Oryctolagus cuniculus: one gene and its partners. The protein of the gene in region 2 interacts with the protein of the main gene of each other region in a pairwise test. Links are inferred from orthologs where the notes say so. Each region holds a gene or a part of one and is shown on either strand. Other genes may lie near its edges. The genes, in order: ARL6IP1, INPP5K and MAD2L1BP.

What was found.
Region 1: the proteins of INPP5K (region 2) and ARL6IP1 interact in binary tests that used the Homo sapiens proteins (3 or more experiments, as listed by UniProt). The link is inferred for Oryctolagus cuniculus from reciprocal best matches to the Homo sapiens genes INPP5K and ARL6IP1.
Region 3: the proteins of INPP5K (region 2) and MAD2L1BP interact in binary tests that used the Homo sapiens proteins (3 or more experiments, as listed by UniProt). The link is inferred for Oryctolagus cuniculus from reciprocal best matches to the Homo sapiens genes INPP5K and MAD2L1BP.

Annotation. Positions count from the first base shown.
Region 1 is NC_091450.1:20,960,245-20,967,059, forward strand, and holds the start of ARL6IP1 (ADP-ribosylation factor-like protein 6-interacting protein 1), read right to left. Parts: upstream 4,689-6,815; 5' UTR 4,535-4,688; coding exon 4,499-4,534; intron 2,570-4,498; coding exon 2,436-2,569; intron 1,966-2,435; coding exon 1,846-1,965; intron 1-1,845. UniProt on the Homo sapiens protein: Positively regulates SLC1A1/EAAC1-mediated glutamate transport by increasing its affinity for glutamate in a PKC activity-dependent manner.
Region 2 is NC_091448.1:47,056,102-47,062,868, reverse strand, and holds the start of INPP5K (inositol polyphosphate 5-phosphatase K), read left to right. Parts: upstream 1-2,063; 5' UTR 2,064-2,253; coding exon 2,254-2,387; intron 2,388-3,131; exon of another isoform or gene 3,132-3,597; intron 3,598-4,037; coding exon 4,038-4,145; intron 4,146-4,507; coding exon 4,508-4,616; intron 4,617-6,767. UniProt on the Homo sapiens protein: Inositol 5-phosphatase which acts on inositol 1,4,5-trisphosphate, inositol 1,3,4,5-tetrakisphosphate, phosphatidylinositol 4,5-bisphosphate and phosphatidylinositol 3,4,5-trisphosphate.
Region 3 is NC_091436.1:126,439,654-126,446,511, reverse strand, and holds the start of MAD2L1BP (MAD2L1-binding protein), read left to right. Parts: upstream 1-3,825; 5' UTR 3,826-3,921; coding exon 3,922-3,967; intron 3,968-4,325; coding exon 4,326-4,591; intron 4,592-5,987; coding exon 5,988-6,500; 3' UTR 6,501-6,858. UniProt on the Homo sapiens protein: May function to silence the spindle checkpoint and allow mitosis to proceed through anaphase by binding MAD2L1 after it has become dissociated from the MAD2L1-CDC20 complex.

The DNA of each region.
Region 1 (6,815 bases), on a different chromosome or scaffold from region 2:
ACAAGACGACTACTAATCAGGCAAAAAGAGCAGCTGGGGGATTCCCGGGCCGGGTGGGGGTGGGGGTGGGGGTGGTGGAGGTGGTGTAGCAGTGTGGGTGTGGAATCTACTCCAACATCTAGTTTGACTCATTGTTGGGATCAAAGGTGAGAAATTCAACAATCCAGAGGGAAGTTAAAATACTTTTAGTATGACCCTTAGTCTCCTAACTCCATCTCAGGCACTCAAAACCGAAGAATGGCATAAATGCAGCCAAACAGCTCACTCACGTCCAACCTCCTGAAGCACGGGGCACACACCCGACGCTGCCTCAACATCTCAAAACCTCAGCCCTCTATTTTTTTATTCAGCGTGTTTTTTTTTTTTTTTTTAAAGATTTATTCATTTATTTGGAAGTCAGAGTTATGCAGAGAGAGAGGTCCTCTATCCTATGGTCCACTCCCCAGATGGCCACAACAGCCGGAGCTGCTCCAATCTGAAGCCAGGAGCCAGGAGCTTCCTCCAGGTCTCCCTGTGGGTGCAGGGGCCCAAGCACTTGGGCCATCCTCCACTGCTTTTCCAGGCCACAGCAGAGAGCTGGATGGAAAGTGGAGCAGCCGGGTCTTGAACCGGCGCCCATATGGGATGCTGGCGCTTCAGGCCAGGGCATTAACCCACTGCACCACAGCACCAGCCGCATCCTCAGCCTTCTACAACAACTTTTCTCACTTTTTAGGATTTATTTTTTTGTCTACTTCTTAGTGTTCTAAATTCTTCCCCATAACCTCTCATTTCAGTAAAAATGGCCAAGCAGCAGAAGTGTGCATCAAGTCAACACTTGACCTGCCAGCTTCATACAACTTTCATAAAAAGCAATCAAATCAGCAAGTCTCTTGATTTTGGCCTAACATACAGTATTGAAAAACTCTCAATAAGTGATTATTTCTAATATTATCAAGTTAGTCTAAGCAAATATAGAAAGCAAGCTTAAAGATAACTGTGGGGGAGGGCCATGCTGTGGCGTAACGGGCTAAGCCTCCACCTGCGGCACTGGCATCCCACATGACCAACAAGTTGAGTCCAGGCTGCGCCACTTTCCCTGCTGATGGCCTCAGAAAGCAGAAGACGATCCAAGTGTTCGGGCCCCTGCATCCACATGGGAAACCCAGAAGAAGCTCCTGGCTCCAGGCTTTGGATGAGCCCAGCTCTGGCCATTGTGGCCATTTGGGGAGTGAATCAACGGATGGAAGACTTTTCTCTCTGTGTCTTCCTCTCTCTGTAACTATACCTCTCAAATAAATAAATAAAAACTTAAAAAAAATAAAGATAACTGTGGGGAGGGCCCATAACCAACAGCAAATACACTAGTTTAAGTTCTTTCTTAAATGCTTTGGGCATTTTTTAACATAGTATATATTGGTTTCTCATAATGACAAAGGCAATTTAGTGGAGGAAGCTTCTTTTTGATATTTGAAACTTAAAGGTCCAAACATTTCACAGCACCGAGACAAGTGTCTCACCCAGCAGACTGCTCCTGGTCACTACATGACTGTGGACTACAGTCGACCAGTTACCTTTTCCTATTTATTCAAGAATAGTTTGTGAAATAGCTGATCACCTCAAATATCAACAGAAATGGAAATGTGCACCTGTTAGGGAAAGCTCACTGAGATGTTTGTTAGTCCTCACTGAAACTGTACCTTCAGAAAGCCCGTGGCAGTAAATGTAAGTTTAAACCACACGGGTGAAGGTGAAAACGCCTGAATGATTCGACAAGGCTCTGCACTTAATCACAGCACAGTAGCCACGGCCACCAGGTTCAGGAAGGCCTCTGAAATTAAACCGGCAAATCACTGTGTCACTTACCATTTATTGGAGCCAAAAATCCTGGGTGCTAGAATGGGAACAAGGTAGTCAGCCAAGCACAAAAACATAACAAAGCAGGAAACACCGGACAGAACAGATGGGTCCAGATAGTAGATAATCCTGTTAAAAAAAATTAAAGAAGCTTAGAAAACAGCCAGTATTATGCCTGGCTGCAGATGCTTAATTTCACAATTCACTCAGTGCCGTGGTTCTCAGAGACGTTATTTGGCACTAATTTCCTCACCAGTGGTTTCCAGAGGCTTCATAGCATGATGACGTCACAGCCGCAGTGGCTGATATAAATACCAACCTACAAAGGCTTTCGGAAACCCCCAGTACTTTTTAAGATTGTAATGGTAAGATGGTAATGGTTTTGAGCCAAAAGGCTTGAGAGTCACCGAGTTATTCAACTGCGTCAAGTTACCAAGCTTACATAAGTACTACCAACTGTGGAAACCCAGCACGGCTTGTAAGAAAAGGCATTCTTGATGGATTACAGGCTACAAAAGGCTTCATTAAGGTGCTGCCCTGAACAGAGCCTTCAGCGCTACCAAGCGCACGCAGCCCATGGAGTCCCCCGGCTCACTTACAGAAACACCAGGGAGACCACAGCCAGGAGGGCAGGCGGGAACCAGGCTCTCTCCCACCGCAGCACTTTGTCGGCCAGAAGCATCACCTCTCCCCAGCCCTGCAGCTGCTCCTCCAGACTCGCCGTCTCTGCAGCCTACACGGGGCAGAAGGGAAAGCGGCCATTTCATCACTCAGCATCTCCGTGGTTCTAACAGTTACATCTTCCCAAGGCCAATCAATAGGTGAAACACCTCCTCATTCCAATCTTCAACAGTTTCCTTTCTGAGGAACTCTGCAATTTTGTACCAAAGATGGGAATCAACCAGGGGGCTAGGGGAAGCCTCTCCTTGTTTTTTTTTTTTTTTTTAAGATTTTATTTGAAAGAGTTACAGAGAGAGGTAGAGACAGAGAGAAAGAGAGAGGTCTTCCATCCCCTGGGTCACCCTCCAGATGGCTGCAACTGCTGGAGTTGCACTGATCCAAAGCCTAGGAGCTCCCTCCCCATCTCCTACGCGGGTGCAGGGCCCCAAGGACTCGGGCCATCTTCTCCTGGGCAGAGCCCACCCTGTAGTGAATCCAAGCACGGGGCGACTCCTCACATACATGATGGAGCTCAACCCTTACAGAGCTGGCAATGTAGGGATGCGACTCATTTCACAGTGAAAGCAAGTGGGCTCCAAACCTTCCCAGGCGTGGACAGGCAATCAGTGGCAGCACCCAGAGTGCTAATCAGATTAGACCACTCCAGGTTTGTTCATTTCAGGTGGTGGGAACTGGCCCGCAGCTCACTCACTTCATCCATCTCAATCCTACTCTCAATCCATTAGGAAAGCCTTCCCCTGAGCCGCACTCACCTTCTAAAACGGCTCTGTGTAACGGGAGCACTGAGATAGTGGGCTCCATTGCAAAATTAAGGAAAACAGCTTTCCAAATTACAAGTGCCATTCTACAGCGCTTCCTGTCGCTCGGGGTAGACTTCCAGTGTTCCTGCAGCCCTGACATCCCAAAGTGGGCCTTGAAGACGAGCTCAGGCCACAAACTCCCTGAAGCTCATCTTGGTAAAGGAGAAAACACTGGAACAGGAAACCCCAACGTCCCTGTGAGTACTTCCCCTTAGAACTAGGTGTCCTGGCTTTATCGCTCACGCTTACGACTAGTTAAATCAGAGATCACATGTGCCAAGAACCTTAAACTTCGCCTGATCCTCTCAATCGCCCTAGAAAGAAGGGGTTGTTGCCATCCCCGTTTCGCTGATAAGGAAACTGAGACGCAAAGGAGTTGACAGCGTCGGCCCCGGGAAGTCAAAGGCCTTGCTGTCCCTGCAGTCGGGCTGCTCTGCTGGGGACCCCAGGCTCCAGGTGAGACTCGGCTATTGCAACAGGACTTGGACAGCCTCGCTGTGCTTGCACCGATTCTCTTAGAAAGCAGCAGCGCAAAGCAAAAAACCACGCCCAATGCAAGCCGCCCTTCTGAGTTCGCCAACATCTGGGACCTTGGAACGCTCTCTCGGGTCCTGCCTGGACCGGTGCAGTTAAATCCGAATCCAATACGTCCACCCAAGGCAGGGCCTCGCTGCAGCTCCCCCGGATCCTCTCCAGCCGTCCTGTGAGCTCCCAGCCCCCGGCCTTCCCAACTCCAGGCCCAGGCCCGGTTCCCCATGGGGAGCTCGCAGCCTCCCTGTCCTTGTAAGCTGCGCCAGCTCCAACAGAAATCCTCGGCCGTGGCCCTGGGACCCTCCATCCCCGCTCAAGTCTTAGACGGAGGAGGACGAGCGCTCGCCCAGGGTGAGATCCAAGGCGGACAGGACCGCGGCGAGGCCCGAAAGCCACCGCGCGGCCCCTCGCAGCCCCCGTCCCGCACTCCTCAACCCCCACTCGCAGTGACTAATCACGCGCCCTCCTCGCCCCGCCGCGCACCGCCCACCGGGAGCCGCCCACGAACCCCGAAGGGACGGGGGTCTCCCGGGCTGGGCCGAGGAGGGACGGGCCCGTGGCGGGGACAGGAGCGAGGCCGCGACGACCGTCCCCGCCGAGCCCACCGGCCGGCCCAGCTCGGTTCCTGCGGGCAGGCCTCCGGGACTCACCAGCAGATTGGTGCTGCGATTATCTCCCTCCGCCATCGTCCGTCAAGAGTCGTCTCAGCGAACCCGAGCCGCCTCTCCAACCTCAACCTCCGCTGGAAACCCGCACAGTGAACACAGCGCGAGGGAACGCCCCGCAGGTCGCTTATATAGGCCGGCCGCCTTTCCCGACAGCACCCGCGACGCTCGCTCCTCATTGGGTGAATCGAGCGCAGGTTTCAGGAAAGCCCCACCAACCACAGCTCAGCGCATGACTTGAAATCGAGGTCAAAGGAGAGAGGGGCCGCGCCGGGCAGAGGGGGCGGGGAAACGGAATAACCAATGGGCGCCCAGGGATTGTGCGGCGCCCCGCCCAGGGCTCGCGGAAGCGGTTCAACTGTCGCTGCCGGCGGCGGAGGTTTGGTTGGCCGAGAGTGGACGCCACCGTAGCCGCGGGACCCTCCCGGCGTTGGCTCCGCTCAGCGCCTAAGGAACCCCTCTGGAAAACTGAGTAGTCGTAGAGGTGTGCGGTGTCAGGCGGAGGGCAGAGATGGGCACGCGGCGCGGGACAGTGGCTGGGGCGGGCCGACCGCGAGTCCGTCTCCCAGCGCCGCGGTCCCTCGCCGTCCCCGGCCTGTGAGCGGCTTAACCCAGATTTGTGACTCGTGCCCACCTCGTGAGGTTCTGAGAACCAGTGAATGGAGCTGTTGATGTGGCTTCTGCCGCAGCGTATTCAGGAATGAGGTCTTTGGGTGGGGGTGGGTGTCAAAGTGAGAGAGAAATCCTTCATGGGGCATTTTTTTTTTTTTTAATTTATTTATTCGAGAGGCAGGCAGAGTGAGAGAGGCCTTCCATTCTCCGGTTCACTCCCCAAGTGGCCCCAACGGGTAGGGGGGCTCAGAGCCAGGAGCTTCCTCCGGGGCTCCCATGCAGGTGCAGGGGCCCAAGGACTCGGGCCATCTTCCATTGCTTTCCCAGGCCACAGCAGAGAGCTGGAACTGGTGACCCAATGGGATGCTGGCACTGCAGGCGGCGGCTTTACCCGCTAAGCCACAGCGCCGGGCCCCTTGGTTTAAACTACAAACTCCCCCTGTACCAAGTGATTAATAGCGCCTTCCTTCCATTAGAGAGAGCTGGATGAACTCTGTTGAGATCCTTCTCCATCTTTTCCATCTTGGACTTCAAAATGCGTTAGCAAGCTCTTGTCTGAATCACGCCAAATGTTGGCCTAGACAGAGGTTCGTCTCAGGGAAAGTACTGTACGCTTTATCCTTATAAACCCATGTGTATTAATGCCACCGACTTTATCCTGAAAGCACTCTTCAAATAACAACCAGGTTCTGAAAAGTTCAGGGAAGTCAAAGAAAAGCCCTGAGCAAACTGGACCAACCAGGAGCCTTGTGAACTTAGCGGAAGTGTCAAATCTGACCGCGATCTTTGGGGGCGGGGCGATCACCTGGCCTCCCCAACGTTAGAGGTCTCTGCTATGGGGGACGCTGCAGGAAAGTTCAGGTTGTATAGGTAACGTACAGTCAATAAAGACCTCGTTTGTTTTACATTGAGAGCTGCAGCTCCCATCCACTGGTTCCTTTGCCAAATGGGGCTGGGAAAACCTGACAGGAGTGGAGAACTCAATCCAGGTCTCTCATGTGGGTGTCAGGGACCAACTACTTGAGCCATCATCTAATGCCTCCCAGGATCAATTCAGCAAGAAGCTGAATCGGGGGCTGGCGCTATGACGTAGCAGCTAAAGCTGCCATCTGCGGTGCCGGTTCAAGTCCTGGCTGCTCCATTTCTGCTCAGCTCTCCGCTGTGGCCTGGGAAAGCAGTGAAAGATGGCCCAAGTGCTTGGGCCCCTGCATCCACGCGGGAGTCCCTGAAGAAGCTCCTGGCTTTGGATTAGCCCAGCTCCAGCCATTTGGAGAGTGAACCAGTGGGTGGGAGATCTTTCTGCCTAGCTCTGCCTTTCAAATAAGTAAAATCTTTTAAAACAAAAATGGAATCAGGAGCTCGAACCAGGAGTGGAACCCATGCACTCTAACGTGGGACACAGGCTTAATGCTCACGCTTTGGCAGACTTTAAAGCTCTGGAGTTTGAGGAGCAGGCTCTCCTCTGTCTTTAGAAGAAAAAGGACAAAAAGACCGAAGAATGAGCAGCCACACTGGTGAAGGTGTTGAGCAGAGTGTACAATCTTGCTAGCGGCATACTAACACCCAACTTTAAAGAATGGCCAAAGAGGGCCAGTGCCGCAGTTCACTAGGCTAATTCTCCGCCTAGCGGCGCTGGCACACCGGGTTCTAGTCCCGGTTGCCCCTCTTCCAGGCCAGCTCTCTGCTGTGG
Region 2 (6,767 bases):
CCTTGTGAAGTATGTCAGCTTGAGTGTGCGCTCCAAGCCCAGCCTGGCCGGGGCCCGGGGCTGAGAGACCAGATCTGCTGGGGAGTGAGACGTGGGATGGCATAATTGATCCTTATGTTTGCCTTACTCATTTCTAAGTGCAATAAGGGAGTGTCTCACAGGACTGCACCTGTGCCATCCTGGTGGCTGCTTCCCTGTGGGTCTCCTGGGCAAAGGTGGACAGACTTGGACCCCTCAGCATGGTTAGCTCTGACCTTCACTGAGGTCCCTCTGGGACCAGGAGATGCCCTGTTACAGTCTCCTCACCTTGTGGGGCACTGCAGCTGCTTATTAGCATCTCAACGCTGGTAGCATTTATCTGACTGGGAAAGTTGGAGAAGAGGCATTCCTACTGGAGAGAAATGTAAATGTTTTCCTACAAGCTCTGTATTAGCTATTAATTATACTTGTGCTTAAAGATGTTCCTTCTTCATTCATCACTAGGTGAAGTCCAGATGTGGGTCATCCTGGAAAACACAAACATATTCTAGGCCTCGGTGGCTTACGTGGCCTGAGGGTCAGCAGGTCTGTCTCCTTCCTTCAACTATTTGAGATCCACACATATCATGTCAGTGCTTGGGGTGGGGCGCTTGTGTCTCTGACCACTCGCACGGCTCCCCGTTGCCCCAGTTTGAAAGCATCCCACTGAGCTGAGCTAGCATTCCTGGGGTCAACTTGGCTATGGGGCCCCTGCCCACAACAGCATCAAGGAAGAAGTCACTGGCCTGCTCTGCCCTCGGGACAGTGTTGCTGCTGGGCAACAGCCTTGGCTACTTTTAAATACCCCGCCCCCAGCCCGGAAACTGACAAGCACTCAAAGGGGCTCAGCTCCAGGAGAGCACCCCAGGGGGTGCCGCACCCCTCCGAGCAGCTGCCTCTGCAGCAGGGGTGCTGGGCTCTGGTCCTCTCACCAAGGTTGGAGATGAGGTCGGTTTTGAGGTCCCCTGGTATTACCTTCCCAAGTTCTCCTTTTACAGTCCCTACTGGGACGCCCTGACATTTTGGTTGGTTCCTAGTGCTCCTTCTTTTACAAACTACACTTTGTAGAACTGATTAGATTACCTTGTTTATTTAATGTGGGTTTGTGCCTTTTTGTCTCAATCTTCCAATACAGGTATATTGGGAAAAAACAGCAGTCTAATAAAATCCTAGACAGAGCTGTCTGGAGTCCAGCTAATTATTGGTGATGTTTTGATGCCCATTTTACAACTTAGATAGTCTCAAACTCTTACTGATGTCCCCCATTTTACCAGGGCAGGGTAAGGAAGAGGTTCAATGATGTCTCTTAAATTGCACGGGTGAATTTCCATAAATTAAGACGACCTTTGTCAACGCACTTGACACAGCTCGGCTGAATGTGATGCAGCCATGTTCTGCCCGTTCCCACGGCGCTTCCCGCTCCCCACACCTCCCCGTTCACTAGCCAGCAGAACAGTTCAGACAGCTCTGAACCTGGCTGCGGGGCCTGCGGACCGATGCAGCCCGTTTCTTAGATTGTGTGCACCTCCATCCCCGCCCCCTTAGACTGAGCCAAGGAGTGAACTCGCAGTGAATCTTGAGCGCTGTCCGTCATCTCTGTGGTGCCTGGTCTTCAGTGCAGACCAAATAGAAGCAGTGACTTATTTTCCCTGAGTCCAGGAACCCGGAGGCGTCCCGTGTGTAACAGGCAAACCAATGAGTTTGAAAAGCGAAGGCCACTTGAAGGTGGAATAGATTAGAACCAGGAATGGCCGTGCGAGCGCGGCGTGGAGCCGGGGGTTACCTGCGGTTGGGGGACCCGGGTCATAGGCGGGACAGTGGCTACGTGGCCGAGCACGTCTCTGCGTGGCGGGAAGCTGGAGGACAGCACAAAACCCAGGCCCGCAGACAGACCCCGAGCGAGGCACCGGCGGCCCCGAGACGCGGGCGCGGCAGCGACTTCCGCCGGAAGACGGCTCTCCCGCCGCCTCGCGCGAGGCGGGCCCGGGTGCCGGCGGCGGGCAGTGTTACGTCGTGCGCTGAGGACGGGCAGGCCACGCCTCGCTGACGCCCGGCTCCCCGGGCCCTTTTCTCTCAGCCTCTGGCGGCGCCGCGCTCGCTGGAGGGTCCCGCCTCCTTCGCCGAGCCGCACCACCCAGAGCCCTGGGTTTGCTCGAGGTCCGCCCCTTACGGGAGCCGAGGCGGACGGCCAGAATCCGGAAGAAAAACAGTCGGCGAGAGTGAGGCGGCCGAGCCATGGAGCTGGACCAGGAGGAGTCCAGCAGCGAGGAGCCGGAGCAGTCAGACGTGAGCCTGCCGGACGACCCCGAGAGCGTGATGGCCTCCGTGAGCGAGCAGAAGCCCAGCGAGCCGAATGTCTGGAAACTCAGGTGAGGAAGACGCCTGCTCGGGCCGGTCGCTGCCTTCAGCCGCACCGGGGCTGCGGACCTGGGGGCTGGGGACTGACCAGACTGGAAGGGAGGGGAACAGGCTTCTGCGGCTGCCCTCACCCAGAGGCCCTCCCACATTCTCCCAGGCCAGGGTCTAGTGGGATTTACTGGACCTGAGCCTCGCGCCCCCTCTGAACTTGGGCCGCCGAGCGCGTCCCCACTGGAACACTCCAAGCAGGGCAGGGGTGGCCCAGTTAGCAGGTGTCTGGAGCAGACAGTTGTGTTGGGCTGTCGCGGTGAAATCTCATTCCTGTTTGTGATCGGCACATGCATCATGAGGTCTGCCTGATCCCGTTATGACCTCCGGAAATCCGAAATCGGATTAAGATAAGAACCTTCGGGGAAGTGGTGTCGCCTGGTCTCATGCCTGCTCTTTCAGGAGGAACGGGGCTAATCACCCACTTGGTGGGAATCACGAGTGTGGATTTGCGCCTAAGCGTCCGACCTGAGTGTGGGGACAAGAAATCCCAACTCTGGTCCCCACGCACTTAGAGCAGGTGCCTGGGAAAACAAGGGGCCTTTGAGTGAAAGGGCTTGCTTTCTTAATCCTCTGTCGGACAGCAGGGGGAGATCGTAAACAGATGAAATACTTTGTCCACCGGGTGCCTGGGAAGGTGGGCTTGGAGTTGTTTGTTTATATTCTTGGGGAGGGGCAGGAAATTGCTTTAAGCCGGCCAAGAATTTCCTTCTGGTGGAGCAGAGGCATATGGGAGCGGCCCCCTTCCCCCCATCTCCTAGGCTGGACCTTCCACAGCAGCGGGTCTTCCTCCTCTCGGTGCACCTGGGACTGGTGCAGCCTGCTGGCTGTTCGTGAACTCTGCGGGATTTGCAGCTCCTGGGGCTGCTTGGGCAGATTTCTGTTAACTGCTCTGTGTGCAAGTCCCTCCTTGCGCCGAGGCTCTGAGAGCCACCGAATTGGCTCTTGCTCCCCTAGAATCTGTGTGGAGCAGAGGTGGAGAATGGCACCCGAAGATGACTTTCCCAGGGACAGGGAGATTGGAGAGAGATGTTGAGAGACACTTAGAAGTTCTCCTTGGGCTCCCTAAGTGCTTCCCAGAATTGGTTGTGCTGCGGGAATCTGCTGGGAGCAAGTGGAGGAAGGGAGCGTGGCGTCTCTCCGGCGGTGCTGTAGTGCTGAGGCCTTCGCAAGGTGCAGTCTGAGCTCTCCTCCTCCCGTCTTTCCGTCCCAGTCTTCCTGGTGGTTTCCAAACTCCCGGGGTTGAGACGTGGGGGCCGGAAGTCGCTGTCAGCCATAGATGCTGGCTGAGGTGAGGTGTGGATGGCTGGTGCAGCTGGTGCATTTCGGGAAACCCTGGCTGCCCAGCCCACAAGCTCTGGGCTCCGTTTGGCAGCTCTGCTAATGTGAACAGCAAGTGTGGGCAGCTGTGGGTCTGTATGGAGCAGCCAGTCTGGGGCACAGATGTCCTGCTCCGGGGGACACAGGTGAAGACCCAGGGCTTGTAGTCCAGTACCTCTGCTTCCTCCATCAGATGCAGAAACGCGTGTTTTCCATGTGACTGCAGCGGTGTGGGGGGCCACCGTGTCTGTTGTCCTCCTTCCTCCATGACGCTTTCTGCGCCCCTTCCACAGTATGCATGTCGTGACCTGGAATGTAGCCTCCGCAGCACCCCCTAAAGACCTCAGTGACCTGCTTCAGCTGAACAACCAGGACCTGGACCTGGACATGTATGTTATTGGGTAGGTGTCCGCAGGGCCCCTTCTGCCAGCCCTGTGTCTGAGATCAGCCTGACCGGTCTCAAGCTGTGCCCACGGAGAACAGCAGTAACCTGTGGAGGCGGAAGGCAGGGAGCTGTCAGCCCGAGTGGGGTCGGTGCTGTGGAGGCTGCAGACAAGGAGCTGTCAGCCCAAGTGGGGTTGGTGCTGTGTCTGCTGTCCGAGGGCAGCAGTGGCAGGGAACTGGAGGCCGGTAGCCAGGCAGCCAGGGAGGGAGGAAGCGTGGTCACCGACGGAGGCTTCAGGTCCTCTGAGGGCAGTGCTGAATGTCTGTGGCAGAGGCTCTGCCCTCGGCCGGGGACAAGCCTCTGACCTGGGGTGGTCAGTTTGCAGGAAATGAACTCTGGGATTGTAAGCTTCATTTCCGATACTGCCTTTGAAGACCCGTGGAGCAGTTTCTTCATGGATGTGCTTGCCCCTCTGAGCTTCGTCAAGGTAACGTGCAAGTTCACGGAGGACAGAGAAGTGAGAGATGTGTCTCGCCTCCACCGAGCCCCAGGCGCTATATTCCTCTTAGTCCCCATCAGCCTTTTGTGATGTGTCCCATCTGTTAAAAGTTCATTTATTTTTTATGCAGGTGTTTCCAACTGACTTTTTTTTTGTTAAAGATTTACTTATTTATTTGAAAGGCAGAGTTAGAGAGAGAGAAAGAGGCAGAGAGCTATCTTCCATCTGCTGGTTCACTCCACAAATGCCCACAATGGCTAGAGTTGGGCCAGGCCAAAGCCAGGAGCCAGGAACTTCTTCTGGGTCTCCCACATGGGTGCAGGGACCCAAGCACTTCGGCAATATTCCACTGCTCTCCCAGGCGCATTAGCAGGGAGCTGGATCAGAAGTGGAGCAGCTGGGACTCAAACCCATACCCATATGGAATGCTGGCGCCACAGGCAGAGGCTTTGCCTGCTATGCCACAGTGCTGGCCCCAAAACTTTATTTATATATATATAAATATATATATACATAAATATATAATATATAAATATATATTTATATATTTATATATATATTTTATAGAAAGTTTTTATTTAATAAATATAAATTTCATAAGTACAATTTTTGGATTATAGCAGTTCTTCCCCCCATATCCGCCCTCCCACTACCCAAACCATCCCACCTCCTACTCCCTCTCCCATCCCATTCTTCATTAAGATTCATTTTTAATTATCTTTTTTTTAATATTTATTTTATTTATTTGAAAGACAGAGTTACAGAGAGAGGCAGAGACAGACAGAGAGGTCTTCCATCCACTAGTTCACTCCCCAGATGACCTCAATGGCCAGAGCTGCGCCGATCCAAAGCCAGGAGCCGGGAGCTTCTTCCAGGTCTCCCACTTTGATGCAGGGGCCCAAGGACTTGGGCCATCTTCTACTGCTTTCCCAGGCTATAACAGATTGCTAGATCAGAAGAGGAGTAGCCGGGACTAGAACCGGCACCCATATGGGATGCCGGCGCTTCAGGCCAGGGCATTAACCTGCTGCCCCAGAGCACCGGCTTAATTATCTTTATATACAGAAGATCAGCTCTATACTAAGTAAAGATTTCAACAGTTTGTACCCACACAGACACACAAAGTATAAAGTACTGTTTGAAGACTAGTTTTACTGTTAATTCTCATAGTACAACACATTAAGGACAGAGGTCCTACATGGGGAGCAAGTGTACAGTGACTCCCGTTGTTGATTTAACAATTGGCACTCTTATTTATGACATCAATAATCACCCGAGGCTCTTCATGAGCTGCCAAGGCGTTGGAAGCCTCTTGAGTCCACAAACTCTGACATTATTTAGACAAGGCCATAATCAAAGTGGAAGTTCTCTCCTCCCTTCAGAGAAAGGTACCTCCTTCTTTGATGGCCCCTTAAAAGTTTATATTTTTAAGATTTGTTTATTTGAAAGGCAGAGTTAGGGGCCAGGAACTCCATCTGGCTTTCCCATGTGGATGGCAGGAACCCAGATACTCAGGCCACCGTATGCTGCCTTCCCATACTCCTTAGCATGAAGCTGAATCCAAAGCAGAGCATCTGGGACTCTAACCAGGATTCAGCTATGGATGCCAATGTCACAAGCAGTGACTTAATCTGCTGCGCCACGATGCTGGCCTCTGTGTCACTCACACCTGCTTCCCTTGATCTTCTGCTGGCTTTGTGTCTTTCCACAGTAGCAAGAGCTGAACTGGGCTCTAGGACTTAGTCTAGCACCTAGATATCTGTTAGCCTCCAATCTCTACTCATGCTCTCAGCCTGAAATCTCAGAGTGCCATAATAATTCTTGTCATTAATCAACTACTTAGTGTCAGGCATCATAAATAAGCTCTTTATGTACATTATTTTAAAAATCTTGAAATAAGGGATAACAGATGAAGCCAAGGCTCAGAAGTCATGTGGGCTGTCTAGATTCCAAGTCTTTCAAACCTGGTAACCCATGTTCTGCATGACTGGACTTAGTGCTGTGCTGGTGAGCTCGAAGGCTTCACGGGTGTCTGACAGCTACCCTGCTGGTATTGGAGTATGTTCTCCAATCACAGCGGACATGCACGTCACATTTCAGAGGTTAGGACAGGGAGATAGGAGTGGATCTCATTGAGGG
Region 3 (6,858 bases), on a different chromosome or scaffold from region 2:
TGGCTTAGCAAGTAAAGTCACCACCCATGATGCCAGTTTGAGTCCCTGTTGCTCCACTTCCAATCCTGCTCCCTGTTAATGTGCCTGGGGAAGCAATGGAGAATGGCCCAAGTCCTTGGGCCCCTGCACCCATGTGGGAGACCTGGAAGAAGCTCCCAGCTCCTGGCTTCACACCTGCCCAGCTCTGGCCGTTGTGGCATTTGGGGAGTGAATCAGCAGATGGAAGATCTTTCTATCTCTCTGTCTCTCTGTAACTCTGTCTTTCAAATAAATGAAGTAATTAAGTGGGAGGGGCAGCACTGTGGCATAGGGGGTAAAGCCACCACCTGCAGTGCCGGCATCCCATATGGGCGCCGGTTCGAGTCCCGGCTGCTCCACTTCCGATCCAGCTCTCTGCTATGGCCTAGGAAAGCAGTAGAGATGGCCCAAGTCTTAGGGCCCCTGCACCTCCATGGGAGACCCAGAAGAAGCTCCTGGCTCCTGGCTTTGGATCGGTGCAGCTCCAGCTGTTGTGGCCATTTGGGGAGTTAACCAGCAGGTGGAAGACCTCTCTCTCTCTGCCTCTCCTTTCTCTGTGTAACTCTGACTTTCAAATAAATAAATAAATCTTAACAACAACAACAACAAAAAGTGGAGCAGCTGGGATTTGAACCCGTGTCCATAAGGGATGCTGGGATCACAGGTGCTGGCTTAATCCTTTGTACCACAATGCTTCCCTTCCTCCCCCAACTTTTTTTTTTTTTTTTTTTTTTTGACAGGCAGAGTGGAGAGTGAGAGAGAGAGACAGAGAGAAAGGTCTTCCTTTTGCCATTGGCTCACCCCCCCCCCCCCAATGGTCGCTGTGGCCAGCGCACTGCGGCCGGCGCACCACACTGATCCGAAGCCAGGAGCCAGGTGCTTCTCCTGGTCTTCCATGCGGGTGCAGGGCCCAAGCACTTGGGCCATCCTCCACTGCACTTCTGGGCCACAGCAGAGAGCTGGCCTGGAAGAGGGGCAACTGGGACAGAATCCGGCGCCCCGACCGGGACTAGAACCCGGTGTGCCGGCGCCGCTAGGCGGAAGATTAGCCTAGTGAGCCGCGGTGCCGGCCCAGAAGCTTCTTCTGGGTCTCCCACGTGCTGTGGAGACCCAAGCACTTGGGACACCTTCCTCTGCTTTCCCAGGGACATTAGCAGAGAGCTGGATTGGAAGTGGAGCAGCTGAGGCACTAACTGGCACACCATAAGGGATGCTAATGCCAAAGGCGGAGGCTTAACCTGCTATGCCACAGCTCCGGCTCTTATAACTCTGCCTTTCAGACAAATGAATACAACTTTAAGAATCTTTAAATGCATCTTCAAAAATGAGGTGGGAGGGCCTAGGATCCAGATGACACTGTTAATGGGATAAGCAGAGAGTGAAAAGAACCTGTGGAGGAGACTGAGAAGTGCCTAGATTATACAAGTAGAAAGAAAAATAGACAAGTGTCAGGTTATGGAGGGCAAGAAAAGAATCTGTTTCAGGAATACTAGATGTTAAAACATACCAGAAAAGTATGATTAAAATACTGTGGTATTGGCTCAGAAATAAACATACACATAATAGGTCTGACATTGTGGTGCAACAGGTTAAGCCGCTGCTTATGATGCCAGCATCCCTTATGGGCACCAGTTCAGGTTTTGGCTGCTCCATTTCTGATCTGGCTTCCTGCTAATGCACCTGGAAAAGCAGCAGAAAATGGCCTAATTACTTGGGTCCCTGCAATTCATGCAGGAGATCTGGATGGAATTCCAAGCTCCTGGCTTCAGCCTGGCCCAGCCCGAGTCATTATGGCTATTTAGGAAGTAAACCAGCAGATGGAATGACTCTGTCTATGTCTCTCCCTCTTTCTTTGTAATTCTGCCTTTCTTTTTATTTTATTTTATTTTGACAAGCAGAGTTAGACAGTGAGAGAGAGAGAGACAGAGAGAAAGGTCTTCCTTCCGTTGGTTCATCCCCCAAATTGTTGCTACGGCTGGTGTGCTGTGCCAATCTGAAGCCAGGAGCCAGGTGCTTCCTCCTGGTCTCCCACACGGGTGCAGGGCCCAAGCACCTGGGCCATCCTCCACTGCACTCCCACGCCAGAGCGGAGAGCTGGACAGGAAGAGGAGCAACCGGGACAGAATCCGGCGCCCCGACTGGGACTAGAACCCAGTGTGCCTAGTGAGCCACGGTGCCAGCCCAATTCTATCTTTCAAATAAATAAATATATTTTTTAAAAAGTGGGGGAGGGGCCGGCAGAGAGAGAATCCTTCCATCCACTGGTTAACTCTCCAAATGGCAGCAGTGGACCAATCCGAAGCCAGGAGCTGGGAGCCAGAAGCTTCTTCAGGGTTTCCCATGTGGGTGCAAGGGCCCAAGGACTTGGGCCATCTTCTACCGCTTCCCCAGGCCATAGTCGAGAGCTGGATCAGAAGTGGAGCAGCCAGGACTCAAACATACCCCTATGGGCTGCTGGCTTAACCCACCTTGCCCAACTTACTCTGCAGCCTCCCAGAGTGATCCTATCCACTCCCATACTAATGGCTGTCTGTCCCAAATGGTGTTTCTAAATGTCTCTATTCACTGTCCTGTGGTGACACTGAACCCAGCCCATCAAAAGCAGGTTTCATCTTTTCTTCTCACCTCCTAGTAGATCTGGTCCTCGTTTATTGCTCCATCTTTCATCGAATGGAGCGCCTAGTAATTCAGTTGCTGGAGTCACAACCCTGCTGGTTTTTCTTTTTTATAGACTGACTGATTGATTGGTTTATCAGAGTTACAGACAGAGAGGGAGAGGCAGAAGAGATCTTCCAAGTACTGGTTCATTCCCCAAACTGCTGCAACAGCCTGGACTAGGCCAGGCCGAAGCCAGGAGCCTCTTCCAGGTCTCCCACGTGGGTGCAGGGGCCCAAGCACTTGGGCCATCTTGGGCCATGCACATTAGCAGGGAGCTGGATCAGAAGCGGAGCATCCAGGATTTGAACCGGTGCCCATATATGATACGGCACTGCAGACAGTGGCTTAACCCACCGCACTATAACGCCAGCCTGGACAGTCTGTTTCCTCGGATCAACTACTAATTTATGCTCATTGGGCCCCTTTGTATCTCCAGGACTCACCCAGTTCTCTCCCTCCCCTGCCACTACCCTGGTTCCGTTCTGTCTCAGCACTACCTCGAACTAGAACCCCTGTCCCTGTCTTTTATCCTCCCTGTAATCCAACTTCTACAGTGCAGCCAGCAGGGAGATTAAACGGGAAAGATGTGAACATAATCATGTCACTTCCCCTACTTATAAACAGCTTCCCTACCTCCCTACGGGGGATCGAGTTCAAAGCCTATCAAAGCTTAGAAGATCCTGTCATGATCCTGTCTCCTCCACGCCCCAGCGCTTTAGGAATTCTTCATTCCTTGAACAGGGGATGATGTTCTTGTCTCTTGGGGTCTCCTCTTTACCTTGCTAACTGACAAGGTCACAACATCTTCACACATTTCTTCTGGAACCACGTACCCCTGCCCCAACCCGCTCTGGGTTAGGCGCCCCAGTTCTTCCCTCCCCCAGCCCTTGTATACCCCACTGTATCAACGCATCCCATTGCACTGTACGCATAGGCAGTGCCCCCCTCGACGGCAGGGCCCGCGCCGGGCTTGTCCCCGGCGGAGCCTCCAGCACCGAGGACAGGGCCCGGCGTGAAGAAAGTAATGAACCCAAGAATGAATGGCTGCTAGAGGGCGGGTGGCCGCGAGCGCCTGGGCTCGCGGTAGCCGGAGGGCTAAGGGTGCCAGCGCGGGCTCCACCCCCGACCCCGCCCCAGGGCGGTGGCGCCGCGCCCCCTTCCGGCCGAGCCGGAAGTGGAGAGGGCTTCCCATGACGCTCCGCGGGCCGATCATTCTAACGCACGGAGCTGAGGGAGGAGGTCGCGATGGCGGCCCCGGAGCCGGAAATCCCGTCGCCGGCCGCAGGCACTGGTAAGGCATGGGGGCCCGGGCTTGCGGCTCCTCGGGGCCCTGTTTCTTCCCTACTGCCGTCCTGTCCTATCACCGCGCCTCTGGTCCTTCTGGTTCCGAGCTCCGGGTTCGTCCGCTCTCCGATGAGACTGCGCCTCGCCCTCTTTTCCCTGGGTCAGGAGCCCGATTTCTGAGTAGAGCCTCAGTCACTGACCGGGAATCTCTCTCGTATCGGCCACTTAGTCATGTACGGCCGCGGGGGTCAGGAATCCCGCACGTACGCACTAGGGTATCTGCGGCGTCGGGGTGTGCGTGGTGGCCGCAGGGAATGCGAAGCCCGACCCTGGCTTGTGTCTCATTTCCCTCTCTTGTGTCCTAGATCTGGAGTGGTTTGACCAGTCGGAAGAAATTCACGGCTCCCCGGTGGAACTGCCGGAGACTGCCTCTGCCCCCGAGGCTCCCGGCTCTGCGGAGCACTGCTGCCCGAGAGACTGCATGGTGCCGGTGGTGTTTCCCGGGCCGGTGAGCCGGGAAGGCTGCTGCCGCTTTACTTGTGAACTGCTCAAGCACATCATGTACCAGCGCCAGCAGCTGCCTCTGCCCTACGAACAGCTGAAGCACTTCTACCGAAAACCTTCTCCCCAGGTAGGCACGGGCTACGGGGGGGAGACGTCGCGGCTCTTGCCTGGCGAGCAGGTGGAACGGGGATCCGAGCCATCTGCAGGGACAGTCGGCGGCGCTGGCTCCGCGCTCGCGTCTTCAGCGGGGTGACCCTCTCTGGTTTTTTCCCTCTTGCTGTCTTCTCCCGAAACCCCTATTAAGTGTTGCTTTTGGACTCGAAGAGTTGAGCCTTTACATTTTAGTTTCTTTTCTCCAAATTTTCATGTTTGGTTTTTCCTTGATGGGGGAGTTCTTTGACTTTATATTCCAACACCAATACAACTTATTCTTTTTTTTTGGCAATCATTGTTAAGAGTTCTTAACTTTCGCATATGCTCTTTGCTCTTTTTCCCCCCAAAATGAGTTTATTTTGCTCTCATATATATATACATATATATATACATATATATATATACACATACATACATACATATATACCCCAGCAAAAATTGACTGCTTTGTGGCATGCCACCAAATTTCCTTGGCTATCTTAGCTTCTTATATCTGGCCGCTCTCTTGGCTGTTGGAAGGGTGGGAGAACTATGGCACAAAGAGTAGATTTCACTTTTTGCTGTGATGTTGATAAAGCCCAGTGATGTGGCGATGACATTCATTGAGCTAGACGTTCAGTCTTTTTAAGATTTATTTATTTACTTGAGAAACAGAGTTAAGAGAGAGAGGGAGAGAGAGAGAAAGGTCTTTCATCTGTTTCACTTCCCAAATGGCTGCAAGAGCTGGAGCTAGGCTGATCGGAGCCAGGAGCCAGGAGCTTCTTCTGGGGCTCCCATGTGGGTGCTGGGGGCCCAAGCTCTTGAGCCATTTTCTATTGCTTTCCCAGGCCATCAGCAGGGAGCCAAATCAGAAGTGGAGCTCCTGGGACCAGAACTGGTACCCATATGAGATGCCAGCTCCGGAGGCAGATGCTTAACCTAGTATGCCACAGTGCCGCCGCCCCCGCCCCCCACTTTTTTTTTTTTTTAAGATTTATTTATTTATTTGAAAGTCAGCATTACACAGAGAGAAAAGGAGAGGCAGAGAGAGAGAGGGGTTTTCCATCTGATGGTTCACTCCCCAGTGGGCCGCAACAGCTGGAGCTGAGCTGATCCAAATCCAGGAGCCAGGAGCTTCTTCCAGGTCTCCCACTTGGGTGTAGGGGCCCAAGCACTTGGGCTATCCTCCACTGCTTTCCCAGGCCACAGCAGAGAGCTGGATCAGAAGAGGAGCAGCTGGGACTAGAACCGGCACCCATTTAGGATGCCGGTGCTTCAAGCCAGGGCATTAACCCACTGCACCACAGCGCCATCGCCCCTCACAGGGTTCTTTAAAAGGCATTAGCTTCCCCTACCTTGTCTCTCTGTCTCACCAAGCTTTGTTGTCACAGGCAGAAGACGTGGTGAGGAAGAAGCCGCGGACGGCTGCCGAGGCCAGCAGCAGGAAATGCCAACAAGCCCTGGCGGAACTGGAGAGTGTCTTCAGTCACCTGGAGGGCCTCTTTGCCCGAACCCTGGTACCACGAGTGCTGATCCTCCTTGGGGGCAGTGCCCTAAGCCCCAAGGAGTTCTACGAACTTGACCTGTCCCGGCTGGCTCCCTACAGTGTGGACCAGAGCCTGAATACAGCAGCCTGTTTGCGCCGGCTCTTCCGGGCCATTTTCCTGGCTGACGCCTTTAGCGAGCTGCAGGCCCCACCGCTCATGGGCACCATCGTCATGGCTCAGGGGCACCGTGACTGTGGAGAAGATTGGTTTCGACCCAAGCTCAACTACCGCGTGCCCAGCCGCGGCCACAAACTGACCGTGAGCCTGTCCTGCGGCAGGCCTTCCGACCCAACAGTGGCTTCGGACGATTACATCTGGTTCCAGGCCCCAGTGACGCTGAAAGGCTTCCACGAGTGACGGAGGACGCTTCCTCATCCTGGAAACGGATGGCCGAATGGCCCGGCTCCCTTCGGCACCGAGCCACCCGACTCTCGCTTGGAGCTGGCGTTGCTTCCCGGTGAGAGGGGAAGGCACTGTCCTGGCTGCCTCCCCTCCTCACACTTCCGGGGGGCTGACGGTGTGTGGCTAGGACCATGGTAATCATCCCTGAGCTACAGCTTGTTGAATCAAAGGTTGCTTTTCCCAGAGGGTGCTGGGTCAGGTGTTTCTGTTTGGGCTTGCAGAGCAAAGCCGGGTCCAGAGAGGGACACTCCTATGGAGGCGGCCCTTCTCTGCTTGCTTGTCGTGTCCTTGCAGAGTTTTTACTGGGGATGTA